Linked DNA regions of Elephas maximus indicus. The protein of the gene in region 3 purifies or fractionates together with the protein of the main gene of each other region. This does not show direct contact. Links are inferred from orthologs where the notes say so. Each region holds a gene or a part of one and is shown on either strand. Other genes may lie near its edges. The genes, in order: POP1, SF3B2, LIN28A and EBNA1BP2.

Region 1 (7,616 bases), on a different chromosome or scaffold from region 3:
CAGTTCCCAGCCCCCAGACAACCACTGGTCTCATTCACAGATGCTTCCAGTTTCTTCACGCACATGGGAATCAAGATGAGTGTATATTCTTCCCTTTTACACAAAATATGGAATATTAAACACTCTTCTACATTTCACTTTTTTCACTTAACAGTATATCAGGGAGCTCTTTCCATGCTGCATGTAGTATGGGGCCTCATTTTTAGGGGATGCATTGTAGGGATGTACTTTAATGTATCTGTCCCTGTTGTTTCCAATAATTTGCTATTATAAACAAAACTACAATGGAACACATTATACACACACACATCTCATTTTCCCTAAGTAACTAAGCCTTTCTTTCCTGAGTCCCAGAAGGCCTCTGGTTGAACCTTTTTTATGAAAATGATAACTATGTACAGCATCTGGCCTTATGTTATAGCTAGTCCTGTTCTTATTCTAGGGAGCCCTGGTGGTCCAGTGGTTCTTATTCTAGGAGCCCTGGTGGCCCAGCAGCTAACCAAAACGTCGGCGATTTGAACCCACCAGCTGCTTCATGGGATAAAGATGTGGCAGTCTGCTCCCGTAAAGGTGACAGTCTTGGAAACCTATGCAGCAGTTCTACTCTGTCCTATAGGGTCACTATGAGTCAAAATCAACTTGCTGGCAATGGGTTTTGGGTTCTTACCCTATTTTAGACTAAGCTCCTTGAGGGCAGCACAGTATCTTACTATGTCTTTGCATCTGTGTAGGGCCTAGGTGATTCCTTGCACATAGGGGGCACACAGTAACTACCTGTTGATGTTTTATTTTGGATTGTCAATAACAAGACCTTTTAGTGTATGGGGCCCTGGTGGTGCAGGGGCTAAGTGTTTGACTGTTAACCAAAACGTGGCAGTTTGAATCCACCAGCCGCTCCTTGGAAACCCTATGGGGCAGTTCTATCCTGTCCTATCGGGTCACAATGAGTTGCAATGGACTGGATGGCAAGGGGTTTGGTTTGTTTTTTTTTTAGCTTATAGTGTGGGCTCTGGAGAGCTGAAGCAGATACATTTAAACTCTTCTCAACTACTTCACCCTCCCACCCTGGCCCACAAATAGGTAACTGCTGAACTTGGTTTCTAAGTTTTTCTCAGGCTGAATGGTAACATCAGCTAACACTGTTTCTTTGAAGTGTCCTGTGGAGAACCAGTAGTCTGTTTATGACCTTTGCAAAGCACCTTCAAGTCTTCCCATGTTTGCAACACAGTTCAAGTCCATAAGCATTATAATTTGAAACTTTATTAAAATAAAAAGGGACTCATTTATTCTCAGAATATTAAAAGTAAGTACTAGAACTCTGAGGCTACCTGAGCTATGCGAAGTCTTATCTTACAGATTAGTAAATAGATGTGCTGGACAAAGTACGCAGAATTTGATATGCCAGTGTTCACTGCAGCCTTATTCACAATGGCCAAAGGCAGACACAACCCAAGTGTCCATCAACACATGAATGGGTAAACAAAACAGGCGACTCGAAAACATCACGCTAAGTGAAATAAGCCAGACACAAAAGGGCAAATATTGTATGACTGCATTATGTGAAGTATGTGGAATACTCAAATGCATAGAGACAGAAGATTATTAATGGTTACCAGGGCTTAGGGGAATAGGAGTTACTGTTTAAGGAGTACTGAGCTTCTGTTTGGGATGATGAAAACTTTTGGAAACGGTGATGTTGCACAACATGAATATAATTAATATTATTGAATTATACACTCAAAAATGGTTAAACTGGCAATTTTTTTGCTATATAATTAAAAAAAAAAAAAGAGTAATTGGACAGTTGGCAAATTGGTATTTCCTGAGCATAAGAGTCCTACTATCCATAGACAAGTTGTGAGGCTCCAGAAAAGTGAAAAGTGCATTGTTCTACACAAGACAAAGGGTGGTAACACCACTTTCGAATCATCCTAGTAATTATCACATGTCATAATCTACATCACAGGGCCTATCACTTCAAAAATTTATAATCAGGTGCTACGTTAGCAATGCAATAGTGAAGTGATGTTGAAATCTCTCAAGGTTCTGACCTGCAGTCTTGCTGAAATGTGCTCAGTTCATTAGTTAATTAGTGACAGCACCTCATGCATCCCAATGCCCAGGACTCAAAGTTCAACACATTTGAATTTTTTCCTGGACAGGACCCAGGATTATTTAAAAAATGCACTCACTACAAACTCCATGCACATAGCAGCTAAACAGGTCTCTTGTTTCCAAATGGTTCTTAAAAATGTTCATTCAATTTTATCATGATATAACTAGTTGGTTGGGGAGTGGTTTACTCTTCAACATAAAATACTGAAAATTAGCAGCATTTCAACTGGATAATAGTGATTGAATACAGTTTTTACTAAGCACTTACTATGTGTCAGGTACCGTAGTTGATAAGGGAAATCCAAAGGATAGGCAAGGCTGTGTCAGAAAGTAAATACTTGGCATAAATCTTATCTTGTTAAATATATGCATTATAGCCATGCCAGACTCATTCATTTATGCACGTATACATTCATTCAACAAATATATATTGAGCAGCAACTTCATGCAAGGCACTCTGCTGGGCGGTGTGGATACCAGAGAAAAAGTCAAGACCCATGTCCTCTATCGCTTCCAAAGAATACAGTAAAAGAAAAACCTCTTTATTTCCTCTCATTCAACAGCACTTCTGACAAGTGGAAATAAATGCACACAAGCTAGACTTTCTGGCCAGTATACATATATTTAGCTATACACAAATACATATATTTAGTACACATAATGATCTTTGTTGTGGGAAATGAGCACAAGCAATGAATTCATAAGCATCATAATGCAATTCTAGACACGCTGTAAAAAGTGAGTTCTAAGACATACGTGAGGAGCCCTGGTGGTGCAATGGTTAAGCGCTGGGCTGCTGACCTAAAGGTTGGCAGTTGGAACCCACAGCGGGCTCAGGAGGAGAAAGGACCTGGCGATCTTATCCTGTAAAAATTACAGCCTAGGAAACCCTACGGGACAGTTCTACTCTGTCCTATGGGGTCACTACGAGTCAGAATCGACTGGTGGGCACACAACAAGATGACTTACGTAGATATACAGGGATTTCTATTTGCTAAACACTGTTGTGAAAATAACTCAGCTCTCTCCAGAAAAGACACCCACATTTGTTATGGATGGGACTCACTCCTTAAAATCAAAAGACACTTCTATCTTTATGGAAGCAGACTGCCACATCTTTCTCCTGTGGAGTAGCTGGTGGGTTCCAACTGCAGAATCTTTGCAGCCAAGTGTTTTAATCACTGTGCCACCAGGGCTCAGATCAAATGCTGTATGTTATGTGAAAGAAGTCATTCACAAAAGGCTACATATTGTATGATTCCATTGTTACGGAATGAATTGTGTCCCCTCAAAATGTGTCAACTTGGTTAGGCCATGATTCCCAGTATTGTGTGGTTGTCCTCCATTTTGTGATCTGATGTGACCTTCCTATGTGTTATAAATTCTAACCTCAATAACGTTAGTGAGACAAGACACTAAGTACCAGATTAGGCTGTATTTTCAGTCAAACTCTTCTCAGATATAAAAGAGGGATGGAGCAGGCAGGGGTGAGACCTCACACCACAAAGAAGGACCAGGAGGGGAGCATGTCCTTTGGGCCCTGGGTCCCTGCACTGAGAAGCTCCTAGACCAGGGGAAGGCTGACAAGGACCTTCCTCCAGAGCTGACAGAGAAAGAAAGTCTTCCCCTGGAGCTGGCACCCTGAATTCAGACTTCTAGCCTCCTAGACTGTGAGAGAATAAATTTGTTAAACCCATCTGCTTGTGGTATTTCTGTTATAACAGCACTAGATAACTAAGACATCCATTTATAAGAGATGTTCAGAGTAGGCAAATCCATAGAGACAAAGTGGGTAAGTGGTTGCCAGAGGCTGGGGAAGGAGGGAGGAGGAGTGACTGCTAATGAATATGGAGTTCCTTTTTTGGGGTAATGAGAATGTTCTGGAATTGGATAGTGCTGACGGTTGCACAATTTTGTGAACACAGTAAAAATCACTGAATTGTAGACTTGAAACAGGTGAATTTTATACCATGATAATTATATTTCGATAAAGCGGTTAAAAATAAATCAATAAAAAGAAACAAATTAGGGTTAGACTACTTCCAGAGGGGGAGTCTGGCACCAAGCAGGCTGAGCTCCGGCGCGAGACAGCCCGAGGCTAGGACGAAGTCCCTGGAAGCACAGGCTCCGAGTCCCGCCGCTGCTCCCAGCTGGCTGTGCCCGCTTCCCGAGCTGTTTCCTCGCGTGTTAGATGGCGTTTGCCCCGATGAATCCCAAGGCCCGCTCGGGTTCTGACCCGGAGTGACCCCAGCCCGTAGTCCCCCCGCAGCTCGCACTCCCCGGATCCGCCCGCGCCCCCACATGTCACGTTACCTGTAGGGACCAATGGCCGCTGGGGCTTTCGCCGTGCTGATCACCTTTCGAATCAAGGACGACATGGCTAGCCCTTTTGTCCAGCAGTCCCTGCAAAAAGGACACCCCACGCACTTCTCACCAAACTAACCAGCTCGGGTTAAAGGCTCGGTCCCAAGGCTTCGCTCGGCATTCTGGGAGTTGTAGTCCCGGCTTGCCTCCAGGCCACGTGTAGGAAGCGGCCGGACAGACGCATGCGCCCTCCAGCCCCCTTGCAGTGCTAGTTGCTACGGAGGGCTCTGTCGCTGAGCCTTGACGTTCTGACCCGGGGAGCCCAGGGTTCCTCTCTCAGAGCATCTGGCAGGTAGGTCCTGAGGGCTTGGTGCCTGCAGGTCCCCGGGATTGGGGGAAGCATGCTCTACCGCCCGGGCCCAGCTACCCATCCTCTCTCCCTCCAATCGCACTGGCCGCCTTTCCCTCCTTGTTGCCCGCACCCGGGCCTCTCTTCTCCGCCCCGCCCCTCCATCGGGCCTTACCCTAGGGACCCAGCGTTTACCATTTTTCCACACCGCCCCTAGGAATGAGCTTACACCTCCTCTTTTGTCGCCGTAAAGGAATAAAGTGGGCCTCCAGGGGACTACCCTGAGATCTGGGCGTTGGTCTCCTTCCCGCCCCTCCCGGGTCCCCTTTTCCTCTCCTGAGTGCTCCTCAAGCTTTACAAGGTCTCTGCACGTTTCCCTTAGACCTGACCAGAGCCCTAGGACTTGGGATCTCATTTCAAAAAGGAAGATAATGATCCTGATCCAACCGATGGTCCCAGAGCTGGTCACTGGGCAGACATTCAGTCGTGCTGGTTTCACAAAGGGTGGTACTTGGCATACATACGTCTTATCTTGTTAATACTGTATGCGTTATAGGTATGCCACACTCATTCATTTATGCTTGCGTGCATTCATTTGACAAATATATATTGAGCGCCTACTTGGTGCAAGGCAGTCTGTTAGGTGCTGGGGATACCATAGAGAAAAAGATCCTGGTCCTCTCCTGCTTCCTCAACATAAAAAAAAAAAAAAAAATTTTTTTTTTTTTTTTAAACATAGCGTAAGAAAAACCTCTTCATTTCCTGTCATTTTGTCCTACCTACTGCTAAAATTTTCGCTTTCTTGCTTCCTCAGACTGTTTTCATTGGCTCGGGACTTTGGTGTGGAATAAAAAAAATACCCTTCCAGTTTCGGCTCCTTGCCTATACAGCCTTCTGTCTCCCCATTTTAGTCAGGCCAGTGTCCTCCTGAATTGACACAGTAGATTCCTGGATACTTTTCCCTATCTATCCAAATTCCAACTAACTGAAATCCTATTTTCTCTTTGATTTTTCCTGCTGACTCATGCTTTTTCTTTCCTTTATCCAGTTTTGCATTGTGCTATATGTGTATGGAGCCCTGGTGGTGCAGTGGTTAAGAACTTGGCTGCTAAGCAAAAGGGCGGCATTTCAAATCCACCAGCTGCTCCTTAGAAACCGTATGGGGCAGTTCTACTCTGTCCTACAGGGTCGCTTTGAATGGCAACAGAATTTTATATTGGAAACTCTGGTGGCATAGTGGTTAAATGCTACCGCTGCTAACCAAGAGGTCGGCAGTTCAAATCCACCAGGCGCTCCTTGGAAACTCTATGGGGCAGTTCTACTCTGTCCTGTAGGGTCGCTATGAGTCGGAATCGACTTGATGGCAGTGGGTTTTTATACTGCAAAATTTAGTATACTGTTATACATCGTCTTATTCTTTTGCTGTTTTTGTGTATAGAGAATAGTGAATGAGTATGAAAACAAATGCAAACTATGACTGTTAAGGTAAGGTGTAAAATTTGAATGTTTACGGTAAGAGTTAAGATCCTTCTGGAAACAGTTTTAGGCTAAATCCTCAGACTTTGCATTCATTCTCTCCTGCCGTTAGAACTGTTTGAGGACTACTGCTAGTTCAATCCACTAATTTTTTAGTTTGGAACCTAAAGCTCAGAGATGTGACTTTCCAAGCTTATCCCAAGCCCCTGGTCCCAGCCTGTCCCCAACCCATTCTAGTCTGAGCAGAGTCAGGGCTCCCAGGGTGGTGTTCTGTCTTGGCGATACTCTGCTGGGTAAGCTCTGATTCAAGCAGGTAACAGTTGATGAACTAAATTGTTTCATAAAATTACTTCGAATTTTTCTTTTTTTAATTTTGTTATTGGTGTTGAGAATATACACAGCAAAAAGAAACCAATTTAACCATTTCTACATGTACAATTCGGTGACATGGATTATATTCTTCAAGTTGTGCAACCATTCTCACCCTCATTTTCTGAGTTGTTCCTCCTCCATTAAGAAACTCACTGTCCCCTAAGGTTCCTATCTAACCTTATTTTGAATGGTTCTTAATGAACACTGATAGGAATCTTGTGCTTCACTAGCCAAGTGACTTTGCAGAACTCCAACTGCTTTATAGACCTGTTGCCTTCGAGTGGTTTCCGACTCATAGCAACCCTATAGGGCACAGTAGAACTGCCCTATAGAGTTTCCAAGGCTGTAATCTTTATGAAGCAAACTGCCACATCTTTCTCCCTTGGAATGGCTGTTGAGTTCTAACAGCTGACCTTTTGCTTAGCAGCCAAGTGCTTAACCACAGTGCCACCAGGGCTTCAACTGCTTTATAAATCTTGCTTAATTTGAACAATGTTTTTAAATGTAGGTTTATTTGTCTTTCATTTAGATGAAAGTCAAATGGAGTAAAAAAGTGAAATGATAATGAATCTGTTATTTCATTTATTATTTAAGAATAATAGCTCATATATTGAGCACTTTGTGCAAAGCCCCATGCTAAGTGTGTTATGTACATTGCCTTGTTTAATTATCACAGCAACTTTGTGATTAATCCCATTTATAGAGGAGACTGAGGCTGAAAAAGGGAAAGCAATTTTCCTAAGGATTACACAACTAAAAAGTTAAGGAACGTGTTTGTAACTCTACAGCCAAAGCTCTTAAACACGACACCCACACAGGCTGGCTGCTTTTAATTTTTCATGAGGTTTTTATAAGTGAATAAAATGGGTGATAGTTAATTCAGTGGCTCTCAGTGGAAGTGGCATAGACCCTGATGTGGCATTTTGGAAGTTTGTGTGGATGTTCTTAGTTGGAGTAATGATTGGATAGCAATACCTCAGGGTATTGCAAATGGTTAATG
Region 2 (7,528 bases), on a different chromosome or scaffold from region 3:
CCGCACACCTGTCTGACACCACTCTGCTTCCTGTGGTCCTCAATCGGCCTACAGCCTAACCCCACACACCTGTCTAACACAACTCTGCTTCCTGTGGTCCTCATCCGGCCTACAGCCTAACCCCACACACCTGTCTGACACAACTCTGCTTCCTGTGGTCCTCATCCGGCCTACAGCCTAACCCCGCACACCTGTCTGACACCACTCTGCTTCCTGTGGTCCTCAATCGGCCTACAGCCTAACCCCACACACCTGTCTAACACAACTCTGCTTCCTGTGGTCCTCATCCGGCCTACAGCCTAACCCCACACACCTGTCTGACACCACTCTGCCTCCTGTGGTCCTCAATCGGCCTACAGCCTAACCCCACACACCTGTCTGACACCACTCTGCTTCCTGTGGTCCTTATCCAGCCTACAGCCTAACCCCACACACCTGTCTGACACCACTCTGCCTCCTGTGGTCCTCAATCGGCCTACAGCCTAACCCCACACACCTGTCTGACACCACTCTGCTTCCTGTGGTCCTTATCCAGCCTACAGCCTAACCCCACACACCTGTCTGACACCACTCTGCCTCCTGTGGTCCTCATCCGGCCTACAGCCTTACCCCACACACCTGTCTGACACCACTCTGCTTCCTGTGGTCCTTATCCGGCCTACAGCCTAACCCCACACACCTGTCTGACACCACTCTGCTTCCTGTGGTCCTCATCCGGCCTACAGCCTAACCCCACACACCTGTCTGACACCACTCTGCTTCCTGTGGTCCTCATCCGGCCTACAGCCTAACCCCATTCCTCTGTCTAACACAACTCTGCTTCCTGTGGTCCTCATCCGGCCTACAGCCTAGGTTCTAAGCATTGATCCAGACCTTCCCAGAAGCCTCAGCCCTACGATCCAGCTCCCTCTAGAGCTCCACTCCCCTTTCAGGGGCCTGATTCGGCCTAGCCGCAGGCTCTCCCCTGCCCTACCTGCTTGGCACGTTCCTCCTGCTGCATCAGCAATGCTGCCTGCTGCTGTGCCAGCTTCAGCCGTTCCTCCTCAGACAGCGCCACAGGCTCACCCACACGGAGGGGAGGAGGGGGCCCCAAGTTTGGTGGGTGGGGTCCGCCTGCCATAGGAAAGCCAAGGCCAAGGCCTGGTGGAGGTGGTGGGGGTGGTGGAGGAGGTTGTAGAGGGGGGAGTCCCATGGGTGGCGGTGGCATGGGAATCCCGGAGAGCTGCGAAGAAAGTATGAGTGTAAACTAGGAAGCACTTATCTATTTATCCTACAGATATTTGCTGGGTGCTGGGATTCAAAGTCAAATAACATATTATTCTTTCTTTTTTCCCTCCTTAACACACAAGGAAGGAACCCTGGTGGCACAATGCTTAAAGTGCTCGGCTGCTAACCCACCAACTATTCCATAGGAAAAAAATATGGCAGTCTACATCTGTAAAGATTATAGCTCAGGAAACCCAACAGGGCAGTTTTATTCTGTTCTATAGGGTCGCTATAAGTTGGAGCCCACTTGACAGCAGTGAGTTTGGTTTGGTTTTGGGTTAACACACAATGAGCCCTGGTGGTGCAACAGTTAAGCACGTGGCTGCTAATGCAAAGGTTGGTGATTCAAACGCCCCAGTGGCTCTGCAAGAGAAAGACCTGGCAATCTGTTCCCGTAAGGATTACAGGCTGAAAACCCTACAGGACAGTTCTACTCTGTCACATGGGGTCAGTAAGAGTCAAAAACTGACTTGAAGGCATCTAACGACAGCAACTTTAACACGTGATTCTTGAATACAGGAAGAGGACGGCCCAGATATTAACCAAGAAAAGAAAATGTTAACTTTGGAGCATCGACAGAGAAAAACTATCAACTCTCTCTCCAAAAAAACGAATTTTGCATACAATTTCAGGAGCTTCAGGAACACGTCTGAAAGCCATCTAGGGACTCATCACCCCATCCATTGAGGTCAATGGAGCCCAGGTTGGCCACTGCTGGATCAGAAGGCACATGGAAATTGAGAGGTGAGTCTTGAATGTCAAATAGAATTTGGAGGAGCAAATGTTGGAGAAGGAGGCAGGTATCAGGACCAAGAGAGAACTGAAGGGCTCCCACTTCTGTCCACGGAGTACCTCCCTGCCCACCCTGCTAACTGCATTCCCAGTGCACTGCACATGAGAAGATGTGCCTATCCTGGGTAGAAGAGACCTTATAAAGTAGAACAACTTCCTCACCTGTGCTGACATGGGAGGGGGAGCAGCTTTGTCCCCATCATCTCTTCTGAGAACCGGCCGATTCAGCACCATGCCAGTCTGCAAAAAAAGAACGAACAACTCTAGACCAGGTCAAGAAGCACTGATCCAATAAACGACGTTCCCTCTCATTCATTCAACAAAGCTTACCCAGTGCCCGTCTGCAGGAGCTTGGAGCTCGGGCACTGGGGAGGGCCACTATGCATAAAGCTATGACAACAGAACAGGTAAAGTCAAGAACAAGCAAGAGCATGCAAAAAAGTGCAAGACCTTGCTGTGCCGGGAGCACTAAGAATGAAGACCGAGCCGTGATGTCTTGAAGGCTGCCTTGAGAAGCCTGGTCTATCCTGACGTCCCTCCGCTGGCACTTACCTGGCGGGTGTAGGTCTGCAGCCGCTCCACCAGCTCCTCGCGACTCCCTGCGTGGCAAACACAGAGTCAGTGATCAATGCTGGGTCGGAGTGGGCTAGGTCCGGCCGACCCGGCCAGGGCGGGCCCTATTAGCCCGCCTCCGCCCCCTGCCCCCGAGTCTCCGAGGTAACAAGGCTCCGCTTCTCTGCAGGCCCATGTAGTCCCCTCTTGACCTTCCGCGCTCCTCACCCTGGATCGGCGCTCCAATCTCTGCCAACTTAGCCTGAAGCTCCTGGGCAGCCCAGGCACCATAGTGCCCTGGGGGTGGCGGCGGCGGCAGCTGTAGCTCCCCTTTGGGAGGCTCGGGATGCTCGGTCGCCATCTTAGCCGCAGGAAGGCGCGCGACCAACCCGGATGCCAGGGCCAGCTCCGGGCCCACTTCCCGGAACTTCCGGGGACGACGTCCAGCAGCCCGCCCGCGGATTGGAGGGCTGTTCGGCTAGAGGGCCACCCCGGACCAACGGCCGGGAAACGTGATTCGCCAACAGACGCGCCCTTTATCCAGTGGTCCGCAGATGGCCTGGTCGCGAAGCCTTCTGGGAGTTGTAGTACGCAGCTGACGGTCACTGCGGGTCCAGCGCCAGGAATACAGTGCCCATTACAGCTCCGGGAAACCCTACGGGCGGACGTTGCTGCGGCCAAAGCTGTCTAGTTGGAAGGACGCTTTCTGCGTCTCGCCTGCCCGAGCGCGGACTATCAGCCTTCCGGCCCGACTCCCTGAATAGGCGTGAGAGCCGGGACGCTCGTGTTTCCAGGGACGCCCGAGAGGCCCTTTCCCCCGGTGGCCGAACGTTGCGGGCGCCAAGCGGGAGGCTGGAGCCGATGCCTGTGATAAAACAGTGTCTGATTGTCTGCCCGCCCGCCCCCGGCCCAGACATGGATGAATGGGCTGTAAGGGGATCGGAGCCGGGAGAGGAGCGGGCCCGCCCGGGCTGAGCTCCAACTCCCGACCTGGGGGAAGGGCAACACTAAAGCCCCATTTCCACCTTCCGGGCCGGCTCAAGTGTCTCCTCCGTTAAGCCTTCTCCCGCTTTCCTATTCTTGGAGCTCTCATAACACGTTCAAACCTCTACTGTTTGTTTTTTGCCCTTCTCTCCACACTCACCTCCATCCCCAAGAACGTGAGCAGGTACCTGGTCATTTTGCTGTCTGGCATGCGGCATCTGGGATCCAAGAAGCACTCAATAAAGATGAGTGCAAAAGAGTAAATGAAGCAATCTTAATGGTGGCAAGATTTACATCTTCCTTAGTCTAAACTGGAAACCCTGGTGGCTTAGTGGTTAAGTGCTACAGCTGCTAACCAAAAAAGGTTGGTAGTTCAAATCCACCAGGCGCTCCTTGGAAGCTCTATGGGGCAGTTCTACTCTGTCCTATAGAGTCGCTATGAGTTGGAATCAACTCGAGGGCAGCGGCTTTGGTTTTGGTTGTAGTCCAAACTCAGGACCTCTGCTTCTCTGAGCCCCTCCAGCCCAGTGGCAGGCGACCCCGTTCTCCTCCACCCCCCCCCCACCCCACCCAACCCCCAGGGCCTGCCAGGGGCATGGACAGGTGCTTTTACCTGTCTGGCTACCGCGCGTCTCCCTCCTCCCATCAATCTCTCCTTCCCACATCTGCCACTAGTTCTGAGGTCCCTCTCCCATCCTGACTGCCAGGCTCACTGCGTGCGTGTGTGTGTGTGTGTGTGTGTGTGTGTTTAGTTGGGGGGCACTCAGGTAAAATGGTCTTATTTACTACCCCCACCTAGGGGCGGATTATCCAATAGGCAAGGTAAGCACACATTTTTTCATCACATCAAAGACTCTGCTTCTAGGTATGGCTGGCATCTGTCGCTCTCCCAATCCCACAGCACCTTCCTACAAAATCAAAGCCTCTTTTCAAAGTTACAATCCTTGACAACCAGATGACCTAGTAAACAAGGTAAGCACAGGCTTACTTGTGCTTACTAATCTGTAGTGAACAATTTCACATGGGTTTCACATCTTTGAAACTTCAAATGATCTGGTAATCTGCCTGTTGGATAACCCACCCCTGTCCCCACCACACACACACTGCCTTCAGATCTTCTCTCTGTCTGGCTCCATTTCACCAACTGCCCCCAACAGCAAAGTAGCTGGGAACAGAGAAAGAATGCGGCCCCAGGTCTAGGGGAGGTGAGGTCTAGGAAAAATAGGGAATAGGACTGAGCCAGGAAGTTCCTTTCACTCCTGCCCAAACCCCTTCCATCATGACCACCATCCCAGTTGCCAGCTGCCACTCCCAGAAAGACAGCATAGAAGAAAGAACAGTGGTGCCCTCCCCTCCAGCTCGTCAGCCCACTCAGGCAGAACCACTTTGGACCCAAAGGAAGACTCTTTCTGCTTCTGAAACCTGAGAGCCCCAGCAGGTCATCTGAGGCTGGAGGCCCTCAGGTGCCCCAACCTGCTGGGGGAGGGGTCACTGTCTGAGCAGTCTAGGGTAAAGACTGACTGGTGAGGAGGCAATGTAGCCAGGGCCAGAAAGGGACACACCAAGCAGGGCCTCATTTCAGCACAACAGCCCTGGGAGGCAGGCGGGGTAGGACTACCCGCTCCCTCCCCCTGGCTCCATTGTGCAAAAGGGAAGCTTGATGGGCAGAGAGAAGCTGACAGGCCCAAAGGGCTGAACTGCGACCACAAGCAGCTCTCCTGATGCTGAAAGTCCCCATTCCCTTCTGCTCCTCAACACCCACCAATTACCTGAGTTGGCTTGGAATGGGGGTATCCAGCCCAATTAGTCCCAGCTTTGATTGGCTGCCCCAGCACCCCTGCCACGCCAGCCCACAGGAAAGGAGAAAGCAGGGGTCCCTCCCAGAACAGAATGAAGGGCTCTTGACAACTGGCCTGGTTTGGGGGAGGTACTGCTGCCCAACTCCCAGGTGGCAGGAGCTAAGAACTAAGAATCCAGTTGCCATTGAGTCAATTCCCAGTCATGGTGACCTCATGTATGTCAGAGTAGAACTGTGCTCCATTGAGTTCTCGATGACTGATTTTTCTTAAGTAGAAGAACACGACTTTCTTCCCAGGCACCTCCGGGAGGACTCAAACCTCCAACCTTCTGATTAAGAGCTGAGTGCTAACCATTTGCACTGCCCAGGGACTCCAAGGACTAAGGAGGCAGTGGAAAATTCAGGACTACCCCCCTACACACACTGGGGTGTACACAGAGCCTTCGCCTGTATTATCTCTACAGCCCCAGAAAAGCTCCAGGAAACAGGGCCGTTGTTCCCATTTTAGAGCTGGAGCTGGAAGCCATGGGCTCAGGGCATTGCCTCTTAACTCGGAGATTCAGTGACAAACCAGGATGGAATTCGGTCCTCTGATTCCTGATGCACAGTACCCAGTCGGGGGTCCAGGTCCCACTAAAGCTTTGGTAAGGAGTCCTGGTGGGGAGTAGGAGTGGGTGAGGGACGGGGGCAGGACCCGGGGAGTGTGGACCGCAGGTTGGAAGGAAGGAGTCTCTGGGTGTGAGGGCAGATGGATCCAGACCAGGGGTTGGAGCTGCGCTTCTTGCGCAGGTGGAAAGGAGAAGGAGAGGGAGAGGGAGCACGTGGGTGCCCGTAAACGCATCTCTCTGTGCGTCTAACTCCACGAGGGGGGCCCGGCTACACTGGAGTATTCAGACACCTTCCTGGCCTCAGTTTTCCCTTCAGTTCAGCTAGGGAAGAGGGCTGGCCGCGTTGGTGTCCAGCCCCTGCGAGGCTGCCGGGTGAAGATGCCCACACCCCAAGACGCTCCGGGGAGAGAGTTCCCCTGCAACGCCGGTAGCGCCGCCAGCTCCGCCAGGCCGCCCCCTCCCCTTCGAGCCCCTCCCCCTCTCCTGCTCCCGGCCCCCGCCCCGCCTCCGGTGTGCGATGGGGGGCGGGCGGCGGGCAAAGCAGAGCCGAGTGGAGCCGAGCGGCCGCCGCCACCTGATCCCATCGAGGCGCCGCGCGGCGAGCGGTCGGCATTTGGCGCGCAGGGCCCCGGCCACCTAGGACTCGCGCAGAGCTCAGGACCAGAGGCGGGTGGGTAGCGGTGACCACGCCGCAGCAGCCCGGCTGGAGGCAGAGCCCGCGCGGCGTGAGTACTGCAGTGGTTGCCCGGGGCTAGGGGACGACGGTGGGCGGAGTGTCTGGGGGCCTAGAGCCTGGGCGCTGGAGGAGGGGCGCGCTGCCCTGTGGGGAACGGGAGAGGACGGGGCAGAGGGCGACGCTGGCCTGTGCCTCAGGGTGACCTGCGCCTGGTGACCGGAGCCCTGGGAGAGGTTGGGAGGAAATCGAGGGAATGGTGGGGGTGGGTAGTGATGGAGAGAGAAGGATGTAGGAAATTGGGAGACAGGGATGTGGAGGTGGATGACAGGGAGAGGGGGCTGGGGACCTGGCGCAGGCTAGGAGAAGAAAAGGAGGAGAGGGAGATGGAAGGATATCTGATCTCCCGGGGTCATTAATTTGCAACCCTCTACGTCCTTTAGCCCCTTCCTCCCTAGTGCCCAGGTCAGTTTCCCCACTCACCCGTCTGTGCCATCCCTCAAGTCAGGATGGGGTCCCCAGGTCACCCAGCAGTCAGGTTTGGATGGTCCCAGCCAGCCCCCTCCTCCCCTAAGTGCATCAACAGCAGCCCTGGAGCTGGAAGGGGAGAGGGGAGAAAAGGCACGCTTGGGATGGGTGGGCAGCCGGGCCACTTTTCCAAGCTCTGGCTCTGTGCCATTTCTTCCTTAGTTCCCTGGAGAAAGGAAAGCAATTTGCCAAAGCGGGCAGCAGCCCAAGGTAGATTGTTCTTACTAAAATTAGCACAGATATTCTGATGAGGCTGGGCATTCCAACTTGTCTGGGATTATTGGGGGAACCTCTCTGTCCCTTCATGGAGCAGACACAGGGGTCTGT
Region 3 (7,444 bases):
GACTTCAGTTAAAGCCAATTCAAGAAACTTCTTGGGTGTCTTCTATGAACCAAGCACCATGCTAGGTACTGAGAATGATGTAGGGAAGATACAGAACTGAATAACATATGAATGATTCAGTCCTCAAGGAGCATGTGATTGAGTGGGTGCTAAGGCATAGAGACAAGCAAGTGCATAATAGCTAGCTATAATAACAGTAAAAACTTACAAGATTAAGAGCTAACTATGTGTCCTAGGCTAGGTTCTTTAGAAAAGCAAAACCAGAGAAGTGTGTATATATATATATATATATATATGTATGTATTTTATATATATATATATATACACATATACACAGACACATATATATATACACACACACACACGCACAAAAACAAGTCACTGCCATCGAGTTGATTCTGGCTCATAGTGACTCTATAGGACAGAGTAGAACTGCCCCATAGAGTTTCCAAGGAGTGCCTGGCAGATTTGGATTGCCTACCTGTTAGTTAGCAGCCATAGCATTTAACTACTACGCTGCCAGGGTTTCCATATATATATATATACACATAAACCCATTGCCATCGAGTTAATTCTGACTCATAGCAACCCTGTAGGACAGAGTAGAACTGTCTCATGGGGTTTCCAAGGATCAGCTGGTGGATTCAAACTGCTGACCTCTTGGTTAGCAGCTGAGCTCTTAACTGTTGATTGCACCACCAGGGTTTCATTTATGTATATATAAAGAGATTTATCTCAAGGAAATTGTTCAACCTGTTGTGAAGACTGGCAATTCCCAAATCCGGGTCAGGCATGAGGCTGGAGGCATCTCCTGACTCACTTGCTGCCGGGCTGAAGAACCCAAAATAAGCAGGTCAGATAGCAGACTGCTGGTTCACAGGGCTATGGAAGCCGGCAAATCCCAAAGATGGCAGGTCAGATGGCAAGTTGCTGGCTCAAGTTCTGAGAGCTGGAGGTCAGGTGATGATTAGCTGGATGCAGGATACAGAGCAAGAGAGAGCTTTGCCAGAGCATCCATATATATTGCATACTGGTCGTATCCCCAAGGAAACTTCCTCTCATCAGCTACTTGAGTAAGGGCATGAGTTGAGTAAGGGTGTGACTTCAGTAAGGGTGCGACTTGAGTCACACTCTCTTGTAGTAGTGTGACTCATGATACACCCTACACTAATCCTGCCTCATTAACATATAGATATTAGAATTTACATCACATAAAATGGAGGATAATTACATAATATCACATAATGGAGGATAATTACATCAGATCACAAAATGGGGGATAATTACAATCATGGCCAAGTTAACACATACCATTAACTATCACACTATGTACGAGGCACTATTCTAAAAGCTTTACATATATGATCTAACTTTATTCTCACAATATCTCTGAGAGCCAGGTATTTTCATTCCTCAGAGAAGGAAACTGAGGCACTAAGAGGTTGAGGAACTTGCTGCAGGTTGTTGTGTGAGTTGATTCTGACTTACAGAGAACCTATATGACAGGGTAGAACTGCCCCGTAGGTTTCCTAGGCTGTAATCTTTAAGGGAGCAGATTGCCAAGTTTTCTCTCCCACAGAGTGACAGGTGTTTTTAAATGGTTAGCACCTGAATGCCTAACCATTGTACCACCAGGGCTCTTTTGCCCCAGGTTACCCATAACTCATTGCCGCTGAGTTGATTCTGACTCGTAGCGACCCTTTAGGACAGAGTAGAACTGCCCTATAGGGTTTCCAAAGTTCTAAACTTTACGGAAGTAGACTGCCACATCTTTCTCCTGTGAGGGGCTGGTGGGATCAAACCACTGACCCTTTGGTTAGCTGCCGAGCGTTTTAACCACTGCACCACCAGGGCTCCTTAAACTGTAAATAGTGGAGCTGATATTCAAACATAGGCAATCTGACTCACATCTGTGTGCTTATGAAAAGTGCTAATAATTAAGGAAATAATTTTAAAGCACAGATTAATCTCTATTCTACTCTGGTTTTCTCTGACTCAGAAAATATTATCTCCTCTTTCCTCACTCTCCATGACCACATGAGTAGTTCTACCCGTTTCTCTGAAGGGATGCTTGAAATACCCGAACTGCTCTCACAGAATATCTATTGCTGGAAGCGCCCTTAACAGTGTCTAAAAAAACCTCTTCATTAATTTCAAGTGTGTCGTTGTCTCTTGGGGTTTGAGGAGAGTCAGGGTTTTCTGGGAAGGACTTGGAGGTGGAAACTCAAGAAGGCATTTTAAAAGCTGGAGGGAGCTAGGAGCCCTGAGCCTGGAGCGCGATGTCTTGGTTCAGCACCATGGACAGAACACCCGGCACCCTCAGCACCCTGGACAGAGAAGCTGATAGAGCCTGCCGGGGGAAAACAGCCCTAGAGAATGAATCAAGCTATGCCAGAGTGCTGAACTCTCCCTTCTTCAGCCAGATCTCTGTCGTCTGTTTCTGAATTTTTGGAAGTGAATATATTTAAGGGCGCTTCTAACGAAGGGGACAAGATTCTTAGATAGGGAGGATTATGTAAATAAAAATGACTGGCTGAAGTACTCAGAGAACTCTCGGTAGATCTAAATTAGGGTCCTCAGAAGTGGGACATTGATAATAAAAAATAATAATATTTGCTAATTATATGTATTTCTTTAAGCAGAACCGCAATGGGCCAGTCTTTTTTTTTTTTTTTTTTTAATCTCCCAAAGTTCCATCCCCCATCTCTTACATTCAAGGTTTAGTCTTTGGAGAGCACTCCTTGTGCAAAAGAGAGGGAAATAATCTCTACATCCCCTGCTTTTCCTCCCCATTTTCTTCTTTCCCACCCCTACTCATCCTCTCTCTCAAATCCATGCGTGCGTGCTCGCAGGCGCGCGCACACACACTGACGGGAGCAAATTGAGAAGCATGAGAGATTCCTCACAGTTGGAGAAGAAGAGTGATTTCAGAGCAAGCGGATGCCCCGAAAGCAGGCTCTGTCCCTTTAAACTGGTTGTAGCAGTGGGGGAGGGGAACTGGCCGGAGCTGGCATTGTCCAGTTTGAACTGAGCACCGGAAGTGAAGGGGCAGGGCCAGGGCCGTGCACTGAGCCCCGGGCCATTGTCCATCTCCGACCAGGGCAGTAACCACCCCCCTGACTGACCCTCTTTTTTTCCTGGAAGGGCAGGTTGCCCCTTCAAATTAGGAGACTCCCGACTTCAGTTCCCCATCAACCCCTCTATGGGGAAGGGAGCGCACTTTAGGACGGTGACTCAGGGACCTAAGAGTCTGGGAACCTAAGAGTGTCGGGAGTACAGGAGGAAGACCTTCCACCCACCTCCCCACCCAGTCCCTCTCTAAGCAATGAGTGGGGTGGGGGTGGGGACAGAATGAGAAGGCAGATGGAGGAGAGGGGAGCACATTTTAAAGCCTCTTCGGGGTCCTGCTACTCTCCCAGGGAGCTCTACCTGGGGCTAACTTTAGACAGATTCGAATGAAGGATTCTTTACATAGAATCAATGGGAGCACTTTCTCTCTTCTAATCGAGAGAGATCCAGAAAAAATCTCAGTTGGAAACTCAGAGGCAGAGACCTTCAATATAGTCAGAGGCTACAGACAAGAGTTTTCAGAGGTAGCGCCTCAGTCAGGACTGAAGATAGGCTCTGCCCAGTCTCTAGCCTCTCACTGCTCTCCTACCCAGGTTTCCTAGTGTCCCGAACTCCAGGTCTATCTAAGCACACGGGGGTGGGGGGTGAGAGCAGGTCAGCGCCAAGCAGCCGGGTCAGCTCAAAGGCCTGAGGGGGAACGGAGGGGGAGGAGCGCTCAGGGGCTGGGGGAGGGGGAGGGCTCATCCATTTCTCCCTTGACAGGTGGTTTGTGTCTCTGATTGGCCAGCACCGCCAGGCTCACACCTCCCTCCCCCAACTCTCTGGAATGTATAATTATCTGCGCGGGGGGTGGGGGTGGTGTGTGAGTGTGTGTGGGAGCAGTCACGTGGTCTTAAAACTACCCCCCCAACCCCCCACCTGTATGCTGCTTTGGGGACCCCCATTGTGCCCTTAAAGTGCAGGACCCCAAATTCCGGGGTACCAAGACTTCTACGGCAGAAGGTCCCCATCTCCAGTCGAGCGTGTGAGGAGGGGGGTGTCAAACCTCAAGGTTCTGAGAAGGGACACCCCAGAGGTGTCAGAGATCGGAGCTGTGGGGGGAGGGCCGGAGCTGGAGCCGGAGGGAAAGGGAGGGGAAAAGAGAGAGAGAGAGGGGAGGGGAGGGGGCTGCCCGCGGGGGGTTGGGTCATTGTCTTTTAGAATTTGGGAGCCTTTGAAAAACCGTGGGCCCTCCCACCGCTATTGTGCCGGGGAAGATGTAGCTGCCTCTTCTTCGAGCCACCCCTTTGCCTCCGGACTTCTCTGGGGCCAGCAGCCGCCCGACCAGGGGCCCGGCCCGCGGGCTCAGCCGACGAACATGGGCTCCGTGTCCAACCAACAGTTTGCAGGTTCGAGCTCGGAACTTAGGGGCGACACCTTAGGTTGCGGGGCGCCCAGGAGCCACGTAAAAGGAAAGTGGGGAAGTATCTTCCCAGGCTGCCCGTAGGACCCCAAGTCGGTGCGGCCTCCTGCTTCAGGGGACCGTTTCTGGAGCAAGGAACCCTGGTGTCCCACCGGCGTGTGCTCCGAGGCTACGGGGCAGGGGGGGAATAGGAAGGGCCTGTCCGGCTCTCTGTCCGCGGGCAACGTGTAGTGGGAAGAGGAGCAAAACTTTCGGGGCACCACTGGTCTCGGTGTAGGCTTTGGGAGCGCGGGAGGCGGCCGGGACAGGTCTCTTCTCGCGGGCTGCCTGGTGGGTGCAGGCTCCTAGTGTCCACCCGCGAGACGCTCGGATCTCCCTGTCCCGTCTCTGCGAGGGCCCTCTGAATGCGTGGCCCCCCAACTAAGCCCCCGGTTCCCTCTCCATCTCCAGGTGGCTGCGCCAAGGCGGCGGAAGAGGCGCCGGAGGATGCGGCCCGGGCGGTAGAGGAACCGCAGCTGCTGCATGGTGCCGGCATCTGTAAGTGGTTCAACGTGCGCATGGGGTTCGGCTTCCTGTCCATGACCGCCCGCGCCGGGGTCGCGCTCGACCCCCCGGTGGACGTCTTTGTGCACCAGGTGAGACTCATTCCGTAACTTTGTCGGGAGCGGGAGGGGGTATAGGTGCTCATATTCCGGGGTGGGCGAAGGACTTGGCTGTTGGATTAAGATTGAAGCCCCTCATTGTGTGTACCCATCTTTGCCGTGGCACCCCGATTCTGGGTCCCCGTTTACTCCGATGGGGAAGGATTGGGGGGCAGCGCCGGTTATCAGCACCTCCCCACCCCCTTCCGGGAACCCCTCAGGCTCACCACGTGTCTGTTACCTCTTTCCCCTGGGAAGAGGGCAGAGGGCAGGGAGGTGACCCCATGTGGCAGAAACTAAGGTTGTATTGTGCTTGCCGGTGGGGGGAGGGCGAGCGGCCGACCAGGAAAGCACATGCCGGGGCCGGGCAGGCGCTGAGCGCCCAGCGCCTTTCACTAACCTCTGAAAAGAGCTGGGAGGGCGGGAGAGAGGGAGGGAAACTGGCTCCCAGGCCCAGCCGGCGTGTTTAATACAGACCTCAGCCAGGTGGTGGCTCAAACTCAGGCCCTGAGGCCTGGTGGGTTTGGCGGATCCTTGAAGGATCCATCTGGGGCCTTGAAAGCTCCTCTGCAGGAACGTCTAAGGCGCACAGTTCAGAGAAGGGGGCCTTTGCTGTCCAGTGAATATCCGGAAGAAAAACCTAAGGCATCTAGGCCTTAGATTCCTGGGCCAGGCTGGGAGGAAGTTAGGTGGCAATCCCAAGTTCTCAGTTAAAGCAAGGAAGCATAGTGGGGGTGAAATTCAGTGTCACAGGGCAGGGGGTGGAGTAAGGCTGGCCTCTGAACCTATTCTCCTCGGCCTGGCATTTATGGCCCCAGACAGACATTGATTACTGTCCTAACATTCCCGGCCTCAAACAAGGAGTCTGAGACTTCAGGTCGCTCTCCTCCCGGGCCTGTTCTTCCTCTCACCCCTTCCCTGAATATGCTAGAAGTGTTTCCGTGGTCCCGGGATACCAGCCACTCATACCAACCATGTAAAGCAAGTTGGCTGCATGGGCCTCTTCCACCTTAGGAGGTTTGGGGCTGGACCTGGGAAGAAGAGATTTCTAGTCCCTGGCTCTGGAGGTTGACACCCAGGCCGGGCAGGGAGGGGTTACTGCAGGGAGGTTGGCCCCAGGAGCTGTGGGGGAGGGGAAAGGAGGATGTAGGGATTAAGAGTTGGAGCCTGAGGGTTGGTAGTCTGGAGGGGGAGGGGCAGGGAAGGGAGATGCTGGGTGGACTGGTTGGAGGTGGTGGAGAAGTCTTCTAGCAGGGCCCTCACCTTGAAGGAGGTTGAGGGTGAGATGAAGGGGGAGAGTCCTAGGAGATGGCGACCTGCCCGTTAAAGTTGAATCCCTGGGTCATTGGGCAACTCGAACACCTGCCTGAAGCCTTAACTACATCTTTGCAGCAACACCCCCCACCCCATCAGACAACCATTTTCAAGCTGGTGGATTTGTCCCCCTCCTGTCTCATTTACATATGTGAATGATAACCCACAGGAAGTAATTGTGGGAGAAAGAAGGGACTTGGCCTCTTTAGATCTATTAAATCACTTTATTGCAGGAACCAGCTTTGAATGGCCCTCCTCAGCAGGGTGCCAAGCCTCCCCCACTCTCCCCTTTATCTGATCACAAAGAGATTAAAATCTCTTCTGGTCTGGAGACGACTGGACAGCTTCCCCAGTTTGGGGAGGCTGGAATAAGAGTCAGACCCAATGTTTTCTTATCTCCCCTCAAAAGACTACTAACTATTTAGGGAGGGGCTGAGGGCAACATATCCCTTCATCTTCTGGGGTTCTGTAGTGATATCCAAATTCCAAGGAAGGTTGGGATCCACACTTTAGCCCACTTAACCTTTGGGATCAAATGCAATTGGAAAAGTATTGGATGGCATCACTCGTGAAGGTAAGGAGGGATGGCTGTGAGACTTGCGGAGTGGAGCCCCTTCCGTGCTGTTTCAGATGGGTTAGCAGGAAGATACTCTGGTCTTTAGGTCCTGAGATGTCCAGGTGCCCACGCCTGTCTCTGGAAAAGGAGTTGAATAATTTATCAGGAGGGAGCAGAACTGGGAAGAAAAAAATCAAGAACTTCTCTTCTTAACCCACCTCCCCTTCAGTCAAAGAGGACAATAACTGATAGAAATTCACTGAGCCTTACCTGATAGCTCTGTCTTTATCAATGCATGCTGCTGGCTGGGTCTTGGGTAATTCCTAAAACCCCACCTAGTAGTATGCTACACTAGTGGTTCCAATCCCTGCACTTGAGAAGTTTGAATATCTCTGGGAATTTAATGTAGAAGACAAAGACGGAAGAATTTTTGTTTGTGTTTGTGGGAAAGAGTTCCCAAAG
Region 4 (7,294 bases), about 18 Mb from region 3:
TCTCCATTTGAATATCTAGTAGGCATCTCAATCTTGACATGTCCAAAACTAAGCTCCTGATTTTCTCCACAGAACTTGGTTCTCCAGCAGCCTTTTCTATCTCAATTAAGAGTAACTCCATTCTTCCATTTGTTCAGGCCAAACACCTTAGTTCTTCTTTTTCTCTTCCACCCCACATGCAGGAAATTTCTATGAAGAAATGTCCCCTCTACTTCAAAACTAAATAATTCAGGATGTGACCTCTTCTCACCATCCCAATTGCCTGGCACCACCTCACTCTAAGCTATCATCTTCTCTCGCCTGGATTATTGTAACATTTTCAGAACTGGTCTGCCTGTTCCTTCTCTTTTCCCTCCTTAAGTCTACTCTCTGTCTGGCAGCCAGAATGAACCTGTTAGAACATAAGTCGGATGATACTACTTTGCTCAGAATCTTCCCATGGCTTCTCATCTCACAGTTAGGAGCATATGACCTACAAACCCTATGTGATACATTGCTTCCCATTATTTCCCTGCCTCACCTCTTGCTCCCCACAACGCTGTACACTCCACTCCAGCCACACTGGCCTCTTTGCTATTCTCCCAACACACTAAGCACCCTCCTAACTCAGAGCTTTTGTTATTCTCTTTGCTACACAACCTGCCCTCACCCATATCAGCATGGCAAGCTCTTTTACTTTCTTCAGTCTTAGTTTAAACATATCTTACTGTATTTTTATGCAAATAACTCACATGGATTATGTTTTTCTGCCTACTGCCCCTCCCCCATTTTCGTAGGTGCGCTATGCTAATTTTTTAACATGTTGCTGTAAAAAATTAGCGTAGCATGCTTACAAAAATACCTGGGGGGAGGTGCTGTTGGCAAAAAAAAAAGGAATAACATGAGCCTCATATGTGTAAAAATATGGTACCCAATAAGCCCTCCCCAGCTAACCTATCTAAAATTTCACTCTTTCCCCAATAGTTCCTCATTTCATGCTTCATTTTTTCTCATTAGCATCTATCACTATCTAATACATTATATATTGTTACATACTTTATCTTTTTTTCTTGTTTTCCTCCACTAGAATGAACACACCACGAGGGCAGGGTTTTGTGTGTGTGTCTATTCTGTGCCTCGCACACCAGGACCGGTTGCTATAGTTGACTCTGACTCATGGCAACCCCATGCGTGTCAGAGTAGAACTGTGCTCCATAGGGTTTTCAATGCCTGATTTTCAGAAGTAGATCTTTAGGTCTTTCTTCCAAGGTGCCTCAGGATGGACTTAAACCTTCAACCTTTTGGTTAGCAGCAGAGCACATTAACTGTTTGTGCCACCCAGAGTAGGTGCTTAATAAACTTCCATGGAGTAAACAAATGAATTAGATTCTCATAAAGACTGTAAGTTGAGCAAGCTGAGCATCATCTCCATTTTACAGAAGAGAAAACTCAGACTCTGTGAGGTAATAAATTAAGAGCCATATTCAAATCCAGATCTCCTGATTTAATGACCTTTATACTTTCTACCCTGCTAGCAATACCCTTATACTTGGCCTGCAGGGCTCCTTCCTTGGACCCCATATTTTAGAGTGCCCCATTGTGGTCATCCTCTAGCTGTAACATTTCCATGAGATGGAATGTCCAGGCCACTCAAGTTTGCATCACCTCTTCTAGATCATGCTCCAGGTACCTGGGACTCTGGAATTCCCCCCGCCACATGGTCCTGAGGTCTGATGACAAGACCTGCATTCTGTCTTTGGCCTTTGACCTGGGCCTGAGGAATGGCCAAAGGTGGTTTTTTATAGAAGGTATGGGTAGAGCCTGAACATGCAGGCTTCCTGTTTGAGCCCCATAGTGGTATGGAATGGGGTCAGGAGCAGAATAAAAGGGATGCAGACCAGAAAAGTATGAGTATATGGATATGAAATAAAACAGGTAATTAAAATTTAAAAACTTAATAGGTACATTAAACAGTAACAGCTGAGAAAAGAATCAATGAACTAAAAGGTAAGCCTAAAGAAACTATCTAGAATGCAATATACGGAGACTAAACCCCAAAACCAAACCCAGTGCCGTCGAGTTGATTCCAACTCATAGCGACCCTACAGGACAGAGTAGAACTGCCCCACAGAGTTTTCAAGGAGCGCCTGGTGGATTCGAACTGGCGACCCTTTGGCTCGCAGCCATAGCACTTAACCATTACACCACCAGGGTTTCCATACGGAGACTAGGAAATGAAAAATAAAAATGTGAGTTAACAGACATGGAGGATGGCATTGAGATGGTCTAGAGCTCCAGAACGAGTTAGTAGAAAGAATGAAAAAGATACTATATTCAAAGTGACAACTGATAAAAATTTTCTAGAATCATTCAAAGATACCTATTCTCAGATTCAAGAATCCCAAAGGATCACTGGCAGGATAAAAAAAGAAAAGACACATACATAATAAAGATAGAGACAGAGAAGATCTTAAAAGTACTCAGAAAAAAACAAAACCAAAAGATCAACAAAAAGAAGACTGTGATGGTTCATTTCTTAAGACACCAACAAAGCAGAGACCAAATAACAATGGAACAAGATTCATAACGTGCTGACAAAAATTCTATCCTCAGCAAAGCTATCTTTCAAGAAAGCGGATGAAATATAATCATTTTCAGACGAAAACTGAGAGTTTATCACCAATGGATTATCACTAAATGAAATGATAAAGGCTGTACTTCAGGCAGGAGGAAATGATCCCATCTGGAGCGGATTGTGATTTTTAAAACTGAGTGGTGGGCAAAGAGATTGGTAAGTATTTGGGCAAACATAAACAAATGTTACCTGTATAAAACAATGATTGGTTTAATATTAAAAATTCATATGATTATATATAAAATACAAAAAATGTATGCAAGAAAATTCAGTATCTGGTAATGTACTATTTCCTACCTTGGGTGATGAACACTTACATCTTCATTTTATTATACTTCTTAAAATATTATGTATACACAGTGAACACTCTTTCGTTGGCATATTTCACAATAATTTGTTTTTAATGCGACAAAGAGGGGAGAAAGAGATAGGTGATTAAGTTGTGGAAATCATGAATATCATCAATAGGACCTGGACCAGTGTGAACAAAAACAAATGTTGTAAAGTTATACAAATGGTTTCTGGTGACTTTGGATAAAATTTCCAGTGTCTTTCATAATGCATGGATTCAAAAGAAGCTGTATCTCAAACAATTTAGAGAAATGAAGGTGGTGTACCCTGGGAAACAGTGTTGTTGTGTGCCATCCAGTTGATTCCAACTCATAGTGACCCTATAGGACAGAGCAGAACTGCCCTATAGGGGTTCCTAGGCTGAAATTTTTACAGAAGCAGACTGCCAGATCTTCTCTCCCGCAGTAGACAACTCAAAACGTGGCTCTGATGATGACAAAGATTTGAAGATGCATAAAAAGAGGTTCTTTAAAATAACTTTTTCATGAAACTAAAGTAAAAAAAGTACTTTAACATTATTTTATACATGATCTTAACTACATATGTGTGATTAGAGCCCTAGTGGCCCAATGACTAAGCACCTAGGTCGGTGGTTTGAACTCATCAGCCACTCCCCAGGAGAAAGATGTGGCCATCAGTCTGCTTTAGTAAAGATTACAGTCTTGGAAACCTTAAGGGGCAGTTCTTTGTCCTATAGGGTCGCTATGAGCCGGAATCGACTAGACATACAGGTTATGTGTGATTAACCTATACAATAGACATTTCTTCTATATTCCTGAAAAAAAAACTCCAATTAGCCAAAAAACGTTCTTTTCAAATCTTTGCGTTGCGCTTATGGAGTTATATTCAGCACATAAAGTTAATTTATGTGTCAGAATGTAAAAGGGTTTACCTGGAATGAATTTTTGCCATTTCTGATCCAAATTGTACTTCACACAGTGATTTCCTGAGGGGAATATAATAGTCTGTTCATCAAAGTAGACGATATTGTTGGCTACGTTGGCTCGAAGACCAAAAACATGAAGCGCCTGAGCTACCACGGCGGACATGGTCAGCGACAAGCTGCTGCTGAAGACCGAAAGCCGCTTGAGAGCCCCATCCCGTCCCGCCCACGGCCCCGCCCCCAGGACCCACCCACCCACCCACGGCCCCGCCCCCGTCCCTGGGGTCCTCCTTCGCTTTCCCCCCAACGCCGCGTGACTCCTCCCCTTTCCATTGCTCTCTCGAGGCTTCCAGCTCCTCCGGACGACCTCAGACTCCCTTCCCACCTTTCGCTTCTATTTTCTGGGTCCCCAGACCACGCATGTACTACCTCTACAGATCCGAAGCAACTCGGACACTTCCAAAAGCCGGAGTAGTTTCTATAGCAACGACAAACCGGAAGTGTCGGCTTGCGGCCGGAAGCGGAAGTCCTCATCAAAAAGTTTAGCTGGAGCCGCGAGTGGCTGGTGCTGTTGCGTTTGAAGTCCACGTGGAGCCACCGAGTGAAAGTGGGGACTGAAAGGAGGCAGCAGGGGCGATAGCCACTTTTTTCCAGCCAAGCGGGCCTCAGGGTACACCACTTCTTCCGGTAGGTGTTTGGGCGTGCGTGCTGCGAGATGGACACTCCCCCGGTGTCGGGTTCGGATTCGGATTCTGATGACGACTCCCTTATCACAGACAGAGAGGTAGGTGTCAGCCAAGCTCGCGGGGCTGGGCACGAGATAGCGGCTCTTACTTCACTGGTCCCGACTGCCAATTGTGTTCCACAGTTGCAGGATGCGTTTTCCCGAGGGCTCCTGAAACCAGGCCTCAATGTCGTGCTAGAGGGGCCGAAGAAGGCCGCTAACGACGTGGTGAGCTGGGTCGCTGGATCGAGGGGTACCCCGAGATGGAATGTGCACGAGGCACGGCTGTAGGTGGGAGACTGAGTTCTTGCTCCACGGAAAGAACGTGCACTGCACATTGCCACGGGGGTAAATGACATGCAGGTAGTGAGGGGTTAGCGTTTTGTCCGTCGGCCTAGCCTTTGGGCTTGGGCTTTTGAGAGACAATCTCAGGGTACCCTTCTTTTGAGCCCAGCGTCTGGATTTCCTAGACTGGCCTGAAGCAGTGTTTGGCCGAATTCAAACGGGATCTGGAATGGGTTGAAAGGCTCGATGTGACCCTGGGTCCGGTGCCAGAAGTTAGTGGACCTCAGTCAAGTCTTCAGAAGAAGGATCAGAAAGCTGTTGACCCAGAAGATGACTTCCAGCGGGAGATGAGCTTGTATGTTTGTTTTCCAATGTGGGAAAAGTTGGGGGGGGCGGGGTGTCCCCGTGTCAGAGATTGGGGGAGAAGTAGTGAGCTAAAATTTCTTTGTGCATTCAGCTTTTGTAACAAAAAATTGCTTATGAAAGGTTCTTATGTAGATGTTAGTGACTATATAAAAATTTATAATCGACATTGGTTTCGAGTGACCATTCTCTTGAATTGCTAATTTATTTTTTAGCAACACGCTGCCTTTTAAAAAAATGGTGTGCAGCTAAATTTCTCCAAGATCCCAAATTTATGAGGTTTTATTAGTTTCTATTTGTCCTTGCTGGCGAGGTCAGATATTGAGAGTCCTGTGATCTTGGATTATGAGAGGTGGTGAGAAGAAGTATAAGGCGTCTCCCTCAGCTCATTTCACACTTTGTCTTACATTCTCAGCTACCGCCAGGCCCAGGCTGCAGTGCTTGCAGTGTTACCCCGCCTGCATCAGCTTAAAGTCCCTACCAAGCGGCCCACCGATTATTTTGCAGAAATGGCCAAGTCAGATCAGCAGATGCAGAAGGTAAAAAAAAAAAAAAGGAAAATTTTCTCTGGAAAGCCAAGGGCTTCGTACTTCGTGTATTTAGCTGCCTTTATATCCTATTATAGGAGCTCTGGTGGTGCAGTGGCTGTAAACTGGAAGGTTGGCAGTTTGAACCCACCAGCTGCTCCATGGGAGAAAGATGTGGCAGTCTGCTTCCGTAAAGATTTACAGCCTTGGAAACCCTGTAGGGCAGTTCTCCTCTGTCCTGTAGGCTCACTATGAGTCGGAATCGACTTGACGGGTTTATAATGTTTAAAGATGATAGCTATAAGCCCAATAATGGGGAATTGGTTTTTAGGGGACAATTACTATCTCTTCTGGAGATTGTCTGCTTTAGACTCATGCCATCACCACCAATTAGCGGAATGTAGGGATGATTTTTTCCCTAATTTAAGCAATTAAGGGGGGAGTACACTAAGAAATGTGATTTCCTGAGGTAAAGCCAGCCTTTTGTATTCCATAGTCAGCATGGTCATGGCATGGTGTGTAGAAAGGATAACTGTTCTTGGCCTTCTGTTGCCAGTGAGCAGTGCTATAACTTGAAGACAGGTTACTTCTCTCTGGGCCTCAGTTAACTCTTCTGTAAAATGAGGGTTAATCTCTAAAAGTCTGGTTATCTCAGACATAATATAATTTAAAGTTAAGTAGAATTTGTTACTAATTTAACTTTGGGAGGAAGAAAATTGCCGACCTTTAATTGGAGATCTGTTTAACTAGCCCCCTTGGGTCTCAAGCTGGTTTTTAGGGAGCACTTGTCTTGGTGGTACCCAGGAAAGCTAATCTAGAGATGAACCGAGACACATTTCTGTACATGCACACTGACAACTAACTTCTCATCATTTAACTGAAACGTGTGTGTTTGTGGGAAGAAGCCATGTACCTGACATCTGTTTGCGTTTTCACTGTGTGTGGTATATGGGAGAAGGAAACTGTGAGACTGCACACTGGTTTAACTTCAGTCTGTGGACAGTGGGCATGAGGAGAAGTAGGTCTTTCCAGGACCTCAAGGTGGCAGTTTTGTGTAATAGAACTAATAACAGTCTGGGAGTAGGAAGGTTGCTTTCAAGTTCTGGCTCTACCACAGAAATTTTTAGTACCTGGGACAAAGTGCTTTTGTGACACTTTGGGCCTTGTCATCCTCATATATAAAATATGAGGTTAGAATAGATGACTTACAAAGTTTCTTTGACCTCTACTGTTTCTGGAGCTGGGAATATTTGTTCCTTGCTCTGGTTTCCCTAAGTAGCAGCTATCTCAGATTCACACAAGATAAGCTGACAGCATTCTACGTTTTAGATTCGACTGAAGCTGCAGACTAAACAGGCTGCCATGGAGAAGTCTGAAAAGGCTAAGCAACTGAGAGCACTTAGGAAATACGGAAAGAAGGTAAGGAGGAAAGTATGCAGGGAACAGGAGGAGGTGGGTGTGTTTGTCAGATCAGATTGCCATGGTCTGATTTGGTTCCATGCCCTATGTGTTTTAGATCATGTATTTATCATCTCACAGTGAAGTGT

What was found.
Region 1: the proteins of LIN28A (region 3) and POP1 purify together in Homo sapiens (affinity purification with mass spectrometry; 3 studies listed by BioGRID and IntAct, with this or other methods). This does not show direct contact. The link is inferred for Elephas maximus indicus from reciprocal best matches to the Homo sapiens genes LIN28A and POP1.
Region 2: the proteins of LIN28A (region 3) and SF3B2 purify together in Homo sapiens (affinity purification with mass spectrometry; 3 studies listed by BioGRID and IntAct, with this or other methods). This does not show direct contact. The link is inferred for Elephas maximus indicus from reciprocal best matches to the Homo sapiens genes LIN28A and SF3B2.
Region 4: the proteins of LIN28A (region 3) and EBNA1BP2 purify together in Homo sapiens (affinity purification with mass spectrometry; 3 studies listed by BioGRID and IntAct, with this or other methods). This does not show direct contact. The link is inferred for Elephas maximus indicus from reciprocal best matches to the Homo sapiens genes LIN28A and EBNA1BP2.

What each region holds. Positions count from the first base shown.
Region 1 is NC_064833.1:43,864,975-43,872,590, reverse strand, and holds the start of POP1 (ribonucleases P/MRP protein subunit POP1), read left to right. Parts: upstream 1-4,603; 5' UTR 4,604-4,771; intron 4,772-7,616. Other genes in the region: RIDA (2-iminobutanoate/2-iminopropanoate deaminase), read right to left, coding at 4,429-4,493. UniProt on the Homo sapiens protein: Component of ribonuclease P, a ribonucleoprotein complex that generates mature tRNA molecules by cleaving their 5'-ends. Also a component of the MRP ribonuclease complex, which cleaves pre-rRNA sequences.
Region 2 is NC_064825.1:129,193,202-129,200,729, reverse strand, and holds the start of SF3B2 (splicing factor 3B subunit 2), read right to left. Parts: upstream 3,020-7,528; 5' UTR 2,972-3,019; coding exon 2,839-2,971; intron 2,658-2,838; coding exon 2,611-2,657; intron 2,299-2,610; coding exon 2,221-2,298; intron 1,223-2,220; coding exon 974-1,222; intron 1-973. UniProt on the Homo sapiens protein: Component of the 17S U2 SnRNP complex of the spliceosome, a large ribonucleoprotein complex that removes introns from transcribed pre-mRNAs.
Region 3 is NC_064821.1:66,882,632-66,890,075, forward strand, and holds the start of LIN28A (protein lin-28 homolog A), read left to right. Parts: upstream 1-4,426; coding exon 4,427-4,457; intron 4,458-4,921; coding exon 4,922-5,106; intron 5,107-7,444. UniProt on the Homo sapiens protein: RNA-binding protein that inhibits processing of pre-let-7 miRNAs and regulates translation of mRNAs that control developmental timing, pluripotency and metabolism.
Region 4 is NC_064821.1:85,317,945-85,325,238, reverse strand, and holds the start of EBNA1BP2 (probable rRNA-processing protein EBP2), read left to right. Parts: upstream 1-4,286; 5' UTR 4,287-4,563; coding exon 4,564-4,632; intron 4,633-4,716; coding exon 4,717-4,800; intron 4,801-5,042; coding exon 5,043-5,212; intron 5,213-5,635; coding exon 5,636-5,759; intron 5,760-7,076; coding exon 7,077-7,166; intron 7,167-7,294. Other genes in the region: CFAP57 (cilia- and flagella-associated protein 57), read right to left, coding at 3,858-4,014. UniProt on the Homo sapiens protein: Required for the processing of the 27S pre-rRNA.